Linked DNA regions of Lepisosteus oculatus. The protein of the gene in region 1 purifies or fractionates together with the protein of each later gene. This does not show direct contact. Links are inferred from orthologs where the notes say so. Each region holds a gene or a part of one and is shown in the gene's direction. Other genes may lie near its edges. The genes, in order: ras-related protein Rab-5A and rabggta.

The links.
Region 2: the proteins of ras-related protein Rab-5A (region 1) and rabggta purify together in Homo sapiens (affinity purification with mass spectrometry; 3 studies listed by BioGRID and IntAct, counting the BioPlex papers as one, with this or other methods). This does not show direct contact. The link is inferred for Lepisosteus oculatus from reciprocal best matches to the Homo sapiens genes RAB5A and RABGGTA.

Annotation. Positions count from the first base shown.
Region 1 is NC_090705.1:30,054,920-30,062,843, forward strand, and holds the start of ras-related protein Rab-5A, read left to right. Parts: upstream 1-4,768; 5' UTR 4,769-4,952; intron 4,953-6,316; exon of another isoform or gene 6,317-6,339; intron 6,340-7,003; 5' UTR 7,004-7,074; coding exon 7,075-7,240; intron 7,241-7,626; coding exon 7,627-7,778; intron 7,779-7,924. Other genes in the region: efhb (EF-hand domain-containing family member B), read right to left, coding at 1-67, 1,244-1,387, 3,610-3,672, 3,948-4,010. UniProt on the Homo sapiens protein: The small GTPases Rab are key regulators of intracellular membrane trafficking, from the formation of transport vesicles to their fusion with membranes.
Region 2 is NC_090699.1:13,765,163-13,773,207, reverse strand, and holds the start of rabggta (geranylgeranyl transferase type-2 subunit alpha), read left to right. Parts: upstream 1-4,827; 5' UTR 4,828-4,925; exon of another isoform or gene 4,926-5,288; intron 5,289-5,398; 5' UTR 5,399-5,426; coding exon 5,427-5,429; intron 5,430-6,985; coding exon 6,986-7,096; intron 7,097-7,214; coding exon 7,215-7,339; intron 7,340-8,045. Other genes in the region: E3 ubiquitin-protein ligase TRIM39-like, read left to right, coding at 1,907-2,451. UniProt on the Homo sapiens protein: Catalyzes the transfer of a geranylgeranyl moiety from geranylgeranyl diphosphate to both cysteines of Rab proteins with the C-terminal sequence -XXCC, -XCXC and -CCXX, such as RAB1A, RAB3A, RAB5A and RAB7A.

The DNA of each region.
Region 1 (7,924 bases):
CTTCACGTAGCTCTTGTAACTTTTGTTGAAAAAGTGTCTTTGGAGATGGATTAGTCAATAATGCCGCCTGTAATAATAATAATATCCATTCAATGAGAGGCACAGTGATTTATCAGTTAGTGCTGCTGTCTCACAGCTCTTGGATTTTAGTTTAATTCCAGTATAAATGGAGGTTTGAATGAATCCACAGAACACAAGTGGATGTTGTTGTAGAGCAGCTGAGTGATGTCACTTCCTAAAAAAGAACACTTAATATCTCAGAAACCAAAGCAGTACAAATACTGATTGGAACAGCACAAATGTAGCAGAAATGAATCACTTTTTAATCACTGTTAGTGTTTTTAGTAGGAGGACCAACCTTACAGAGCTAATCGAATTAGCTGGGAATGATGCTTCACCTGAAGAAAATATTTGTTTTCTATTATCCGTCGTTCCATTTTGAGGAGCGGGAATTGCATACACACAAAATTTTGCTGTTTTGCTTTTGGATCCGACAGACATTGTTTGCCACTCATTGCTTAAACATACTGTATCCAACAAAGGGACATCCCTCACCAGCGTCACACTAAGTGAACACAGGGTAAGCCTTCTCACTTCACCCAGAATTCCATGAGGTAATTGGGCTGAAGACATTTAGAGCTGTAAGGTGGTTGCAGTGCTAACCACCAAGCCAGCATACTACCGTCAAGTTAATAATCATCGTCAACATCGTCATAACAGTGCAGAAAATCATCAGAACAAGTTGGGAAGAGACAAATTAAATAGCTATACAGTTAACGGAATAAAGACAGAAAGTTAGTTAAACTTAGAAAAAAACAGATCCTAAAAAGAGATTGGGAATTTGAGCAATACTTCATTCTTAAATTGAAATGCTGAAAAACTGTTGCACCTGAGCATGAGAATGTTAAATGTAATGAAATCATGATTGTTATTGATCAAGAAATCCTTAAAGAAAAGAATTATTCCAAGATGACAGCACACTAACAAATGTTCAAAACTACTGTATATCAATCAGGATTAAGTATTACAAGGATATGATAGTCCACCTTAGAAACAAGGAAGAGTATGACAAATTTGAAAGAAATTATATCTTTTTTGTGAGCATTTACAGTATTAATGGTAAGTGGAGATGTAAAATCACAACAAAACACAAAAACAGTACATTAGACTATAATGCAATAAAGGTTCTGAATAAATTGTTTTGTTTCTGAGAAACTATGATTATATATGCCTACAGACTTACAGTTAAAGAGGGCCTTGTGCTCACACCATGCACAAGACTACTAGCTACATCTGGATCACCGGCTTTCCCATAGAACACTCTGACAGCCCCTGGATCTGGTCGTGTTGTGTTCAGAAACTTCTTAACTACTGGAGGAGTAACAGGCTGCAAATAAAGGTAAGAATATTACTAACACTTCATAGATACTAATGAGATCATGCATATCTAATAAAATTCAAGGTCACATAAATGCCTTCTTTTTGAAAATGTTTTCATAATGTCAAAGGCAATAAAAAAATCAATCACACATCATATCCAACATACAGTATATACATATATATGAATTGATACAAGTATAAATAATAATCACATATGCAGGATGAGGACTTTATTTAAAGCTTTTATAATTCCTGGCAAGAGACAGTACACTATATATATAGTATATATATATGTGTGTACAGTACATGTACCCATACACATATACAAAATAACATTGTTATACAGTTACTTTGCTATATAGTAATATTAAATATTACTATCATATAGTTAAATATATAAAATATTAATATATTAAATATATTTCTATATAGCTACAGTTAAAAGTTAATTCTCCCATAGGTAAGGACATGGAGTGCAAAAGAAGGCTTCTGCTTTTTTGTGCCCTTGGAAGACATTCCATAGCAGATGCCGGCTGTAGAAACATGTCCGATTAAACTGTGTAGTCTCAAACAGTAAATGGGATAGGCACCAGCTGTCTAGGAACAAGAATCCACAAAGAACTGCAGAAACATAAACTGCATCAAATTATATGAAGGTGGGTAAGCAATTATAAATACAGCACCAGATAATGTGGGGAAGCAATTAAGAAATAAACAAAACGCGAGGATGCATAGTTAAAAGCATAGGATTTAAAGAATTTCAAGGAATATTGTATAATGCACTAATAAGGACCCAATTAGAACATTGTGTATAATTGTGATCATCATGTAAATATATTGCTGATCTAGAATCAGTCCAGAATATAGTGAATTCCTTGGCTTATTGGAATGTCCTATACTGACTGGCTGAAGGAACTCAACATTTTAGTCTTAAACAGGGAAGATTATGAGGAGACCTGATATACTGTATATATTTAAAATCTTCTATGTTATTGACAAGGTCAACTCAGTGGATCCCAAAGGGTAGTGAGAGCATAAAACAAGAAATGGCTGGACAAAATCCTTGGATTCATTAACTACTAACTACCAAATAAGCTAGAATGGCCAGCAGCCATATCACCCTGCAACTCACAACTGGCAACCCACTGAAGCTAAGTAGGTGTGTGCCTGGTCAGTACCTGGATGTATTTTCCCGGGAAAAACTGAGTTTGCTGCTGGAAGAGGTGTTAGTGGGACCACCAGGGGGCGCTCACCCTGCAGTCCATGTGGGTCCTAATGTTCCAGTATAGTGACGGGGACACTATACTGTAAACAGGTGCCGTCCTTTGGATGAGACGTAAAACCGAGGTCCTGACTCTCTGTGGTCATTAAAAATCCCAGGGCGCTTCTCGAAAAGAGTAGGGGCGTAACCCCGGCATCCTGGCCAAATTTCCCATTGGCCCTTACCAATCATGGCCTCCTAATAATCCCCCTCTATGAATTGGGTACATTACTCTGCTCTCATCCCCACTGATATCTGATGTGTGGTGAGCGTTCTGGCGCACTATGGCTCCCGTCGCATCATCAAGGTGGATGCTGCACGTTGGTGGTGGAGAGGAGTCCCCATTACCTGTAAAGCGCTTTGAGTGGAGTGTCCAGAAAAGCGCTATATAAGTGTAAGCAATTATTATTATTTATTATTAAATGGCATCCTCTCATTTTTAACTTTTTTTACTTTCTTAATAATTTCCTCCTGTAGACAATATGGAGATGCACTAAAACACAGTTGCAAGACAAATATAGTTAAAGTTTAAATGAATTTAAACCAAGGAACATTACATTTAAAAAGTGCAATACAGTACAGTAAGGTTTAATTTAGAACGGTGCACAACTGTCGTCACTGTGCGACATACAAAAATATAATTATTCTTCCACCCTTAAAAGGAAGAGTGATCAGATAGTCCCCAGGCTTCAATAATATTCATACAAGGACAGTCTAAGAAATTGTATTTTTGATAAAGGCAATACAGTTGATCTCATCAGAATCGACCATCCTACACAAGCCAAGGATACAAGCGGAATCCATGGGGGAAATCTGAAAACGGGGGATATTTTTTTCTTCAAAGTGTTTGGGTTCCTGGAACATACAGTCATGTTCCCGATACTCATACCTCAGGCTTCTTTTATCAATTAACTACTATTAGGCACCAGTAGCCCAAACTGGCTGCGAATTAAGAAAACAAAACTTACCCTGGGAGTAATTTCCTTAAGACATGTTTCTGCTCTTTCGCCTGTTGGTATTAACTTTCCTGCCTACGAGAGAAATCAGCGCACAAAATCAGTGTAGGTTCCATAAAAAAAAAAATCTTATACAAATACTCATATCACGTCTACACATAAATACACATGACAAATTAGAAATTAGATGATTTAATCAAAACGGTTTTCAATCCACCTTAAATCCACCATAACTAGATGTATTTGTACTACAAGGAACACAGAGATATTCTGGTTTCTAATTCTGGCTGGTCATGAAGTATTTTGCAAGCTAAAATATTACACGATGAAATAAATAAATAAAACATTACCGATTTAATACTTGGAAATCTGTCCTTATATTTCGCAGCATATATAGCCTCACGTTCCAACATTTTTCCTCTTTGTAGTATAAGAAAATTGAACGTTGTACTACATCGAAAAGCGGTTTGTCTTCAAGCGCTACATAAAGATATTTCTCATATCACACTCCTGCACAAGTCAGTGGCTAGCACTGCATTGTTCAAGTACTGGGATCATGATACATTTCACATAATGTTTATGGTGCGCAGCTAGGCAACAGGTGCTAGGAGACAGCTGCTACACATCAGCAGCGACTGTGCTGCTTCCATTATGTATGTAGTACATGACAAAACGTCAAAGCTCACATGGCACAGTGAGAGGTAAACTAGGCACTTTTAGATATTTCCCTCCAAAATATGAAGGCTTTAGAAGGGATAATTTTTGAATTACACAATAGTACAGCCCATTAAGATGCTACAGGTTGAAAACTCGATTCCTTCAAGGATTCATAATTGAAACATGCAGGATCTTTCAAGAGGTTTTCTGTATGGTTTTCTTTGGGATATGATGCCAAATACCGTAGAAAAGAAACACGAAACAAATTAAAAGCACAAAATCGCAATTAATAACAAGAACCGTGTTTTATTCTGCATATTTTTTGGGAAAAAAACACTGGGCTTTGCAACCTCACACGTGAATGCTTTGAGTACTTTATAGGTGACTGCCGTAGTAGAAACCGAACAACACTAATTAACTAACACTAATTGCATTGCAAAGCCTTGCAGAACTGCTATGTGACGTGGCGGATGAGGGGCGGATGCGCTTGTGTGACGTAAGGTGAGGGGCGGAAGTGCTCGTGTGTGTGTTTTGGTTCTAAAGGGGGAAGTTGCGAGAAAAAAAGAAAGGAGGAGACGTGATCTGGTCCGGTGAAAATATACGTATTTTTACAGCTTCAAGAAACTGTATTTTAAACATTTCTGTACAAGCCCCCTGTGTTGGAAGGTCGTGAAAATACATATTCTTCTGTCCATCAGGTAAAGTGATCAAGTTGTTGAATCATCGGTGTTCGTTGATAGTGGGGAACACAAACAGGCCCTAGGTCTGGGGAAGAGCCTTTTTGTTAGTTTTCCTAAATTGTTAACAAGAATTTGCGGTTTGTATTGTTTATGGATTTTTAATCATTATATGTAGAGGTGTAAGGTAATGTCACCTTCTATTTTTAATACGCAATTAAATCTTGATTAATTGATTGCAGAAGAGGAAATGTATATTTGATTTTCCCAAACTAGTGTTATCCAAAATGGCGTCTTCCTTCTGCATTTTAAGAAACAAAACGAAAGGGGTTGGAAAACAATACATTTTTAAACTCATCTGATTTTGCTTCTTTAAGCCTTTATTTTTGTCGAGAGTCACCCGACGTAGCAGAGCGTTAGAACTGGATACATAGTTTGTACCGGAAGAGTTTTATTTCTCGGCGTGATACTGGGGTATTCCACTCAAACAGCATGTATAAATTATGGAAAGTAATCTCAATATAATCACATTTTTTTCCATTAGACGTAACACGTTGGCAGACTTCGATTGCCTTGACATGATCAGATATTCTGTGTAGTTTGCTAATAATTGGAAGTAAGCATCCAACACCGTTTTTGCGGTGTATCTGTATCATTACCTTCGACAACATGATGCGTTGCTTCTGTTAGTGTTGTTTTCTAAATAGCATTTTAATAGTTTTAAGGTACATAACGTGGATATCAGTTTCTTCAAAAAGTGATCACCTGCTTAACAAGGGTGCGTCTGTTTTCTTACAGCTGTGTACACAGACAGTGACTTCAAACGTCACAGGCCTAACCTATGTCTTATTTACTTGCTGTCGCTATCCTAGTCCAGGCGATTGTAAATTCATAAGTCCCCGAATAGAGGATAATAAAATAATTTCTGTAATGCACATTCATCTTAACCAGGAAAACCAAACCAAGGTGCAGAGGACACCAACACTCAAATACTGTACCATGGAAGCAAGTCGCTTTTCCGTTCCCAGAATAAATCAGAGTTGGGTTTATACCGTGTTTTGGTCTCCCGAGGGTAGACTTCATTATTGCATTTATATCTTTCATGGTTTTCTGAATAGTTTCATGAAGTGGTGTCTATATGTTATGTTTAAATACGAAAAATGTGCTTTGAAAGCGGATGCTGTGTTTGTAACGGTAATGGCAATATTGATCTGTTGATTTTCAGATTAGTAAATAGTTCTCCATGATAATTTGTTTGGTCTTTGTTTTAAGTGCTATTATAATGTTGCTTATGTTTTAATTAATGCACTTTTGTTGACCTAATTAAATTATAGCCATGCTATTTCAATGTGCATCTGATTTTTGTTTTACAGAAATGTTGCAAGAATTCAGCTTACTACAGTTTGATGTCAGTTCCTTAATTTTGTCTTATCCAGAAATGACCTTTTCATTACCTAAATCATGTCCTTTAATTTATAGAATGTTATAGGCTTTAATCTGAATAACACTAGAAATCTATAAAATATAAGCGATTGTATAGGCCAGTAACTGCATGTCTACGGTTCTTTAAGGCTGATGTATTCAGTATATAGAATCAACATTAATGTTTAAAAATAAAGGTGATTTAGGATCTGTGTTAATTATGTAATAATTTCAGAAATTAATGTCTGTAATACTTCATATGTTCACTATTCAAGTCCTATGCAACAGAATAATATTGTATATTGTTTATAACATTATCAGGGATTCACAAGAGATGGTACAGACTTAATATGCTGAAAAGTAAGCAAAAATGAAGGTTAGATTACATTAGTTTTTAGCAAATAAAACATTTCTTTAAGGGTTTGCTGGAGTGAAGACACGGGATAGAAGTGCAAACATTACATACCCCAACTGTAGACTTAATTTTCTCAAGAATCTTCAGAATTGCTGGTAATGTTTGAAGTTGAAAACATCCTTTAACTGTAGCAGCCAGATTCATACAGTAGAGACAAGGACATGTCAGAGTTCTTCACTGCTTATCATGCCTTTATCGTCCCTGGTTTTTATTGTTGTCATGTCTTTATTCACAGTTTTATAACCGAGAAGACAAGGAGGACAGTGGTCAAACAAGAGTCCAGAGCAGGAGACTGGTGTTTAGGTCATGGCAAGTCGAGGAGGTGCAACAAGACCCAATGGACCAAATGCCGGCAATAAGATTTGCCAGTTTAAGCTAGTGCTTCTTGGAGAGTCTGCTGTGGGGAAGTCCAGTTTAGTGCTGCGCTTTGTGAAAGGGCAGTTTCATGAGTTTCAAGAGAGTACAATAGGAGGTAAGTAGAGAAAAGGTACTTCAGTGAATCTGAACCGAAGCTGTTTTTTTTTAATTAATAGGATGTCTGTTTGAGTTCTTGATTTATTTGTGGTTGGTAGTGGATGTTACTCTGGTATGTTTTGAAGTTAAATCCCTGGTTCAAGAAACTGTTGGAAGAGATTCTTGGATCCTTTGGCTACTAACTATCAAACGGGCTAGATACGCTGAATGACCATCTGTCCCTTGTAACCATTCTTTTGTTCTTAATGTGCTCTGTTGTGGCCGTTGGAGTTAAAAGAATCTAGGAGTTCACTCTTCCTTTAAGATGGTAAATGCATGCTGTGATTATCTGTACAAAACATGTCATCATTGCTTTTTCTTGTGTGTTTATCCTTTTAACTGTAGCTGCTTTCCTGACGCAGACTGTGTGTCTGGATGACACAACAGTGAAGTTTGAAATCTGGGACACTGCTGGACAAGAGCGTTACCACAGTTTAGCACCAATGTACTACAGAGGCGCACAGGCTGCTATAGTTGTATATGACATTACAAATGAAGTAAGTGTGAAAAACAGTGCAAAATTATGAAATAAATAGAATTTTAGCACGATTTAAAAAATTCTAATCTTTTGTGGAATCTTGGTGATTGGTGTAAATCCTGCAGCAATTTTAGGATTGCTTTCACATTAGATGGTAAAGAAACT
Region 2 (8,045 bases), on another chromosome or scaffold:
CCAGGAGGAGGTGTGGCCCCTCGCTGCTATTAGCTTGAGGGCCACTCGGCATTTCCTGCTGGCACTGCTCTCGAGACGCACGGTTCTGCACAGAGGAGTTCAGTACCAGTGACTCCATCCTCTCACCTGGCCATCCAGGGAAAGCTCTCTTCACTGGTCTGCAGCAGAACTGCCAGGTTCTCTCCTTCTGTAGTCTGTCTGAGCCAGGCGCTGCCTGTAGAAGTTATACTGTACCTGACCATCGTGATCTTCAGCATGAACACACACCTGCAGACTCACACAGCTGAGCCTTGAAGAGCAGGGTCACCAACACATGGCTCAACAAATACAAACAGTGAAAACAGTGAGATCTGGAGGTAAATTAATTATTAGTCCAGCAAACTGATGTCGAAACGAGTAAGGAAAGTTATTGAGGTTAAATCATTCTGTGCAGTAATATCCACAGATGTCCTTCCATCAGCTCTTACAGCCATTCCTGCAGACTGCCTTCATCTAGAACTGTCACTAATCATCACTTTTAAAAAGATGGAGATTTCAGTATTTTTATTTCTTTAACCTTTACATTTGACTGCAAAACTTTAATATCTGTTCCCCCAGTTTCTGAATATCCCTGCTTTCCCTTAAGAAATACAATTGTAGAGACTAATCACAACAAATAAATAACAAATCTGCTCAATTCACAACCAGATGTGACAAAACACATTCAAGACTCACAATATTTAAATATTTTCTTATTTTCTGTTCTCTTCACTCCCTGGGATAAAGAAAATACACTGTCGCATACAGTATATAATATGCTTTACATACAGCTACTTATGTGCAATAAAATTAATTTTTATTAAATTACCCTTATTAATAAGCACGTTAACTAAGTTCTTTATCAATAAATGTGGTTTCACTGGAAAGTAGTTTAAGCTAAACATTACAATCCTTTTCCAAGCGACGGACACATGACTTCCTGCCGTAGTGCCGGTGTTGTTTCCCCTCTATTCTCCTGTGATCCAGAGCTCCGCCTGTCCCACACTGAGCTGTCTCCCCATGTGAAGAGGCGCTGGGAGTCAGTCCTGTACTCCAGTCACCTCTAGAGGGCAGCAGCTCTCACTCTGGGCTCGTTGCAGTGGAGAGCAGGTTCAGCTCGGAGCTGCGGACTGATTTCAGCGGCCAAGTTCGTTGCTCTTGGTCTGAAGTTGGCGCGCTAGTTTAACACGGAGCTGTGTGCTGACCAGGGGCTGAGCTCCAGTTAGTGCGCTGTGTCAGTTCGTTACAACTGACCCACAATGTCTGTTTTTCAGGTTTCCATACGTATTACACTGATTTGTGTGTAACGAACAAGAAAAAAAGACACACACAAGCTTTGTCTGTTCTCTCTCGGGTTCCCCTGTCTTGTGTAAAGACAACTTCAGCCTTAATTCAGGTGACAGAGTTAAATACACTGACAGACAGCTCTTAACACACACAAACAACAGATCCTTTTTATTACTGTCCTCAGCAGCGCAGGAGGAGACAAGCTTGCAGTTACTGCCTGTGTGATTCAGGTCCCTGTTATTGTTAATGAAGTGGCAGCAATTTCAGCTTCTAAGAATTTTGTCTTAACGAGACTTTTATAATCTAACTGATAGAGAGGAACCAGAATAACCATGAAAAGACAGTTTGATCGTTTTTCTTCTTGTGAAATAATGTATCCATCAGTATAAAGATGCCCTCAGCCGTGTGATCTGCACACAGTGGATCATCAGGTCTCCTTCAGATTTAAAGACACTTTCTCCCACAGGAGCCAGACTCTCGCAGTGTGAGAGCTCTGCACACGCTCACAGCTCATCTCAGCCGGGCTGGGCCTGTATTTTCATCTGAGAGAGGAGTGAGATACAGATCATTTCATTCTCTCTGTCTGCTCTCTGATCCACAGCTGATGTGACTCTGGACCCCAATACAGCTCATCTCTATCTCATCCTGTCTGAGGATGGGAAACAAGTGAGACTGGGAGACACACGACAGGATCTCCCTGACAATCCAGAGAGATTTGATCATTGTCCCTGTGTCCTGGGAAAGGATGGGATCACCTCAGGGAGACACTACTGGGAGGTGGAGGTGGGAGAGAAGACTAAGTGGACATTGGGAGTCGCCAGAGAGTCCATCAACAGGAAGGGGGAGATCACAGTGAGCCCTGAGGATGGTTACTGGACTGTGTGGCTGAGGAATGGGAATGAGTACAAGGCTCTTGATGACTCCTCAGTCCTCCTCCCCCTGAGCCAGAAGCCCCAGAAGGTGGGGGTGTATGTGGACTATGAGGGGGGACAGGTCTCCTTTTACAATGTGGACAACAGGTCTCATATCTACACCTTCACTGCCTCCTTCACTGAGAAACTCTTTCCATACTTCAGCCCCTATCTTCATGAGGGAGGTACAAACTCAGCCCCACTGATCATCTGTCCTGTCAATCACACAGACTGAATCAGCACATTGTCTGATTCTCTCTCCTGGCATGTAAATCGTTTAGTCTTTTTCATTTGAAATTGTTCTTCTGTTTCTTGGGTGTTGTTTTCTCCACCCACTGCTGGGCATGTCCACATCTGCTCTCAACGCTACTCGTTCAGTCACCAGAAACATCATCACCTGTGGGAGGGGCTCTCTTGGAAAATGAAATTATTACTGGCTTGTGTCAAACTGTTCTACTTTCTACTTTCAGTCCATGTTATTGCTCTATTCTGTTTGCTCTGCATTAATCACTTCTTTCAGTAAATCAGTAAAATTGAGTCACAGTTGTTTTCTTTATCTCTCACCTGTAAATTCTCCAGATTCATGGCTGACTAGCTGGGTCACCATCAGACACAGACTAACACGTCAGCTGAATGCCAGTCGCTTTCTACATGATGGACATTGCTGCTTCACTGTCATGGCCTGGACTCAGATAGAACTATTTCTGTATTAAATAAACTCTGAAATTCTGAATATTTGACATTTGGTCTTCATCTTCATCTTCATCATGATTTAACATCAGCAGCTATATCACCCTGAAACTCACCCCTGTCAGTCCCCTGAATCTCAGCAGGTGTGAGCCTGGTCTGTATCTGGATGGGAGACTCCTGGGAGAGGTGTTAGTGGGGCCAGTAGGGGGTGCTCACCCTGTGGTGTGTGTGTATGGGTCCTCATTCCCCATTATAGTGATGGGGACACTAGACTGTAAAAAGGCACCTTTAATGGTTTCTGCTCAAGGGACCCCCAGACTTCAGCAAACATCCTCTCTGCTTTGAAGTTAGAAAAGTCACCTAAAACTGTAACAATATTTTAGAAAAAAAGTGCAATAATAAATACATCAGAACAATTCTAATTCAAAATACATCCGACCAAGAGATGTCTTCCCTGTTATCAAGGAGAAAGTAATTTTTAATGATATAGACAATGATTCTCCTATTTCTGCTAACCCTGAATACATTACTCTCCCCACGCCACCAAAAACTAAAGACATTTTCAAATACTGAGCAACACATATTTCTCTAAGGAATTTCTCAGAAAACGGTTTCACTTTGACTGTAACACCTGTGCTTTTTGTGAATCAGATATTGAAACAACCGAACACATTTTTTTCTCATGTTATCATTCAACCTATGGCTGCCATCGCATCATCCAGGTGGGGCTGCACATTGGTGCTGGTGGAGGGGATTCCCATTACCTGTAAAGAGCTTTGAGTGGAGTGTACAGAAAACCGCCCTATAAGTGTAAGCAATTTTGTATTATTATTATTATTATTATTATAGATTTATGACCCTCTGTATGTCCTTGGTTAAATAATAGTAATATTTGTGTAAATCTAACTTTTATGTGTATGTGTACACATATGTGTAGAGTAAAAAAACTGTGCTTTAAAGAATTTTCTAATTCAAGCTATACTCAAATTCATTTAAAATATAAAAATATGTTTGGTGAATTGGTTTACAGAAATCTTTTCACATATAAATTATTATCTAAACTTAATTACGCAGAATTATTTAATGTGACCCCTAAAATCACTCAACCTTTGCACTGTTGATAAGGTTCTGATTTGTTATTCTGTTTCATTCAAATGATGTTGTGACATCCGTACACCCTGGTTGTTGTATTTTTTTTATATACATAAAAATAAAACTTAGTTTTTTTAAAAAAAATAGCAGAAAACTTGCAGTAGTGTAGAATAGGAGTACCTACTGCAATCAACTTTTAAAGCAATTAAGGTGTATCTTCTTGTAACTACATTTGTGTGTTTTTACACCCCTTTGGTTATTTTGTATTTTTCACAGTCGTTTTTTTTTAGGTGTGGACATTGGGAACCCAGCTCCTCACAATAAACACTTTGCACTTCTGAGAAAATGATCTCCGAGACCTCCATTGTCATCCACCTCAGCCTGTAACAACATCCACACACGATATAACTGCTGTATCGACTGATCACTTCCTCCTTGTTTCTCTGCTCACATTAAATTAGATACGTTTCCACAGTCTTAATGTGCTGTAGTGGGTTTTTCTTGCAACTGCGTTTTTTTTTCAAAAACGTTCACATGTTTTCTAATATCACTGACTCTCGCGAATCACAGGGACACGCAGATATAAACAAAGACCGAGGAGGAAACGCCGCTGGACTGAACCAAGCTAGCAGTGCAAGGGGGGAACAGGTTAACCGGGTATTACACACAAACAAAGGTCATATGCCATGCTGAGTTGGCAGATAAATACTTTAAAACAAGTTTATTGATTGTTTATCACTGTGTGATTTGACGATCGTTGTATGTTGTCAGAACCCCGTTTTCACTAATCTGAAGATCCGGTGTCACGATGTGTTTAAAATGACCCCCCCTGCCTCCACGGTTCTCCTGCCAGACCCGGAAGAGCGCGGCGGCTCGAGGCGACGCTGTAGAGGTTCTGACATCCGGGATCCGGACTGACCGATACAGGTCTAGTACAGATCCAGTAGAGATATAGCACAGGTCCAGTAGAGATATAGTACAGGTACAGTACGCGTCCAGTAGAGATATAGTACAGATCCAGTCCAGGTCCAGTAGAGATATAGTCCAGGTCCAGTAGGGACAGAGGCGGACAGGGGGGTCACTACGTCAGAGTCCAGTTCAGCTCGGGTGTTTCTCTCCCTGCTCCAGTGTTATTATTGCTGCGATGCTGTTGTTGCTGTTGATGCTCAATGATCTGCAGCGCCCCGGTGCGTGCAGGGGCCGCTCAGCAGTGTGAACAGGACTTCAGCACGCTGGCTGGACAGTGTTTCTCTGCAGAGATCGTGGAAACCGGCTTTAACGTGTCGCCAGGTCTCACTGACAGCGTGTCTTCCTCTGGCTTGTCTGTCTTTGTGATTGACCTTGCCTGTCTGTCTCTCTGCCTGTCAGTCTGTTTCTAACTCTGCTTTGCTTATTTCCAGGACTGACAATCCCTAATTGACAGGAGTCATGGTGAGAGTAATTACATTATTGTTACTGATGAAGTAATCTTGTGTCCAGTGTGTCCAGTGTGTCTGTGTGTCTCTCTCTCTCAGTGCAGTGTTAATGTACTGGAGTGTCCAGTCAGTGTGTCTGTATGAACCCCTCTCTCTCAGTGCAGTGTTAATGTACTGGAGTGTCCAGTCAGTCAGTGTGTCTGTATGAACCCCTCTCTCTCAGTGCAGTGTTAATGTACTGGAGTGTCCAGTCAGTGTGTCTGTATGAACCCCTCTCTCTCAGTGCAGTGTTAATGTACTGGAGTGTCCAGTCAGTCAGTGTGTCTGTATGAACCCCTCTCTCTCAGTGCAGTGTTAATGTACTGGAGTGTCCAGTCAGTCAGTGTGTCTGTATGAACCCCTCTCTCTCAGTGCAGTGTTAATGTACTGGAGTGTCCAGTCAGTCAGTGTGTCTGTATGAACCCCTCTCTCTCAGTGCAGTGTTAATGTACTGGAGTGTCCAGTCAGTGTGTCTGTATGAACCCCTCTCTCTCAGTGCAGTGTTAATGTACTGGAGTGTCCAGTCAGTGTGTCTGTATGAACCCCTCTCTCTCAGTGCAGTGTTAATGTACTGGAGTGTCCAGTCAGTCAGTGTGTCTGTATGAACCCCTCTCTCTCAGTGCAGTGTTAATGTACTGGAGTGTCCAGTCAGTGTGTCTGTATGAACCCCTCTCTCTCAGTGCAGTGTTAATGTACTGGAGTGTCCAGTCAGTCAGTGTGTCTGTATGAACCCCTCTCTCTCAGTGCAGTGTTAATGTACTGGAGTGTCCAGTCAGTCAGTGTGTCTGTATGAACCCCTCTCTCTCAGTGCAGTGTTAATGTACTGGAGTGTCCAGTCAGTCAGTGTGTCTGTATGAACCCCTCTCTCTCAGTGCAGTGTTAATGTACTGGAGTGTCCAGTCAGTCAGTGTGTCTGTATGAACCCCTCTCTCTCAGTGCAGTGTTAATGTACTGGAGTGTCCAGTCAGTGTGTCTGTATGAACCCCTCTCTCTCAGTGCAGTGTTAATGTACTGGAGTGTCCAGTCAGTCAGTGTGTCTGTATGAACCCCTCTCTCTCAGTGCAGTGTTAATGTACTGGAGTGTCCAGTCAGTCAGTGTGTCTGTATGAACCCCTCTCTCTCAGTGCAGTGTTAATGTACTGGAGTGTCCAGTCAGTCAGTGTGTCTGTATGAACCCCTCTCTCTCAGTGCAGTGTTAATGTACTGGAGTGTCCAGTCAGTGTGTCTGTATGAACCCCTCTCTCTCAGTGCAGTGTTAATGTACTGGAGTGTCCAGTCAGTCAGTGTGTCTGTATGAACCCCTCTCTCTCAGTGCAGTGTTAATGTACTGGAGTGTCCAGTCAGTGTGTCTGTATGAACCCCTCTCTCTCAGTGCAGTGTTAATGTACTGGAGTGTCCAGTCAGTCAGTGTGTCTGTATGAACCCCTCTCTCTCAGTGCAGTGTTAATGTACTGGAGTGTCCAGTCAGTCAGTGTGTCTGTATGAACCCCTCTCTCTCAGTGGTAATGGACTGAGTGTCTCTCTTTCTCTCAGCATGGACGTGTGAAATTAAAATCCACGGCGCAGCAGGAGGAGGAGAAGCGTAAGGAGCGAGAGAAGAAGCTGACAGTGTACATCGCTGCCCGGGACGCCTGTTTTCAGAAGGTCAGGCTGACTGCTCCTGCACCGAGCACCCCGGAGGACGCGCAGAGGCTGTCACAGAGACGCGGAGTTACGCTGACCCTCTGTCTCGCATGTCTCTCTCTGTCTCTGTGTCTCCCAGAGGACGGAGGGCCAGCTGGATGAGGACAGTCTGCAGCTCACAGCTCAGCTCCTGGGCTCGAACCCGGACTTCGCCTCCCTCTGGAACTTCAGGAGGGAGATCCTGGGGCAGCTGGAGACACTCAGGTGATTAACGGGCCCGTGCCCATCGCACTGACTGGTGAGGTGTGATTGAATCTGACAGGATCTGTTCATGTGTGTCTAGATTATTATTATTATTATTCATGGAAGACAGTCCAAAAACAGGAGAGAGGGACAGTGAGGAGAGAGAGACTGACAGTGACACTGACCATTCACACTCAACAGCAACACATTGGAGCACACATCCAACTACACATATCTCGGTCTCACCATCAGCTCTTCCGGGAGTTTTGACCTGGCAGTGAAGGCACTGAGGGAGAAGGCACTCAGGGCTTTCTACGCAATAAGAAGGAGGCTCTTCAACATCAACCCACCAACAAGAATCTGGCTCCAAATATTTGAAAGTGTAATCCAACCCATTGCCCTATACGGCAGTGAAGTGTGGGGTCCCCTCACAGACCAGGAGTACACTCAATGGGACAAACACCCCACAGAAACTCTGCACATGGAGATCTGTAGAATGCTACAGAACCCTAAACAGACAATACACACTAGCTGAATATTTGACCAAAATAAGAAACAACAAGCAGAAACAGACCCTGACAAAGTACAGGCTCAGTGACCACAGCCTGGCCATAGAAACTGGGCGACACAGGCAGACCTGGCTGCCCAGAGAGGACAGGCTGTGCTCCCACTGCCAGCAGGGAGAAATAGAGACAGAGGTGCACTTCCTACTGCACTGTGACAGATA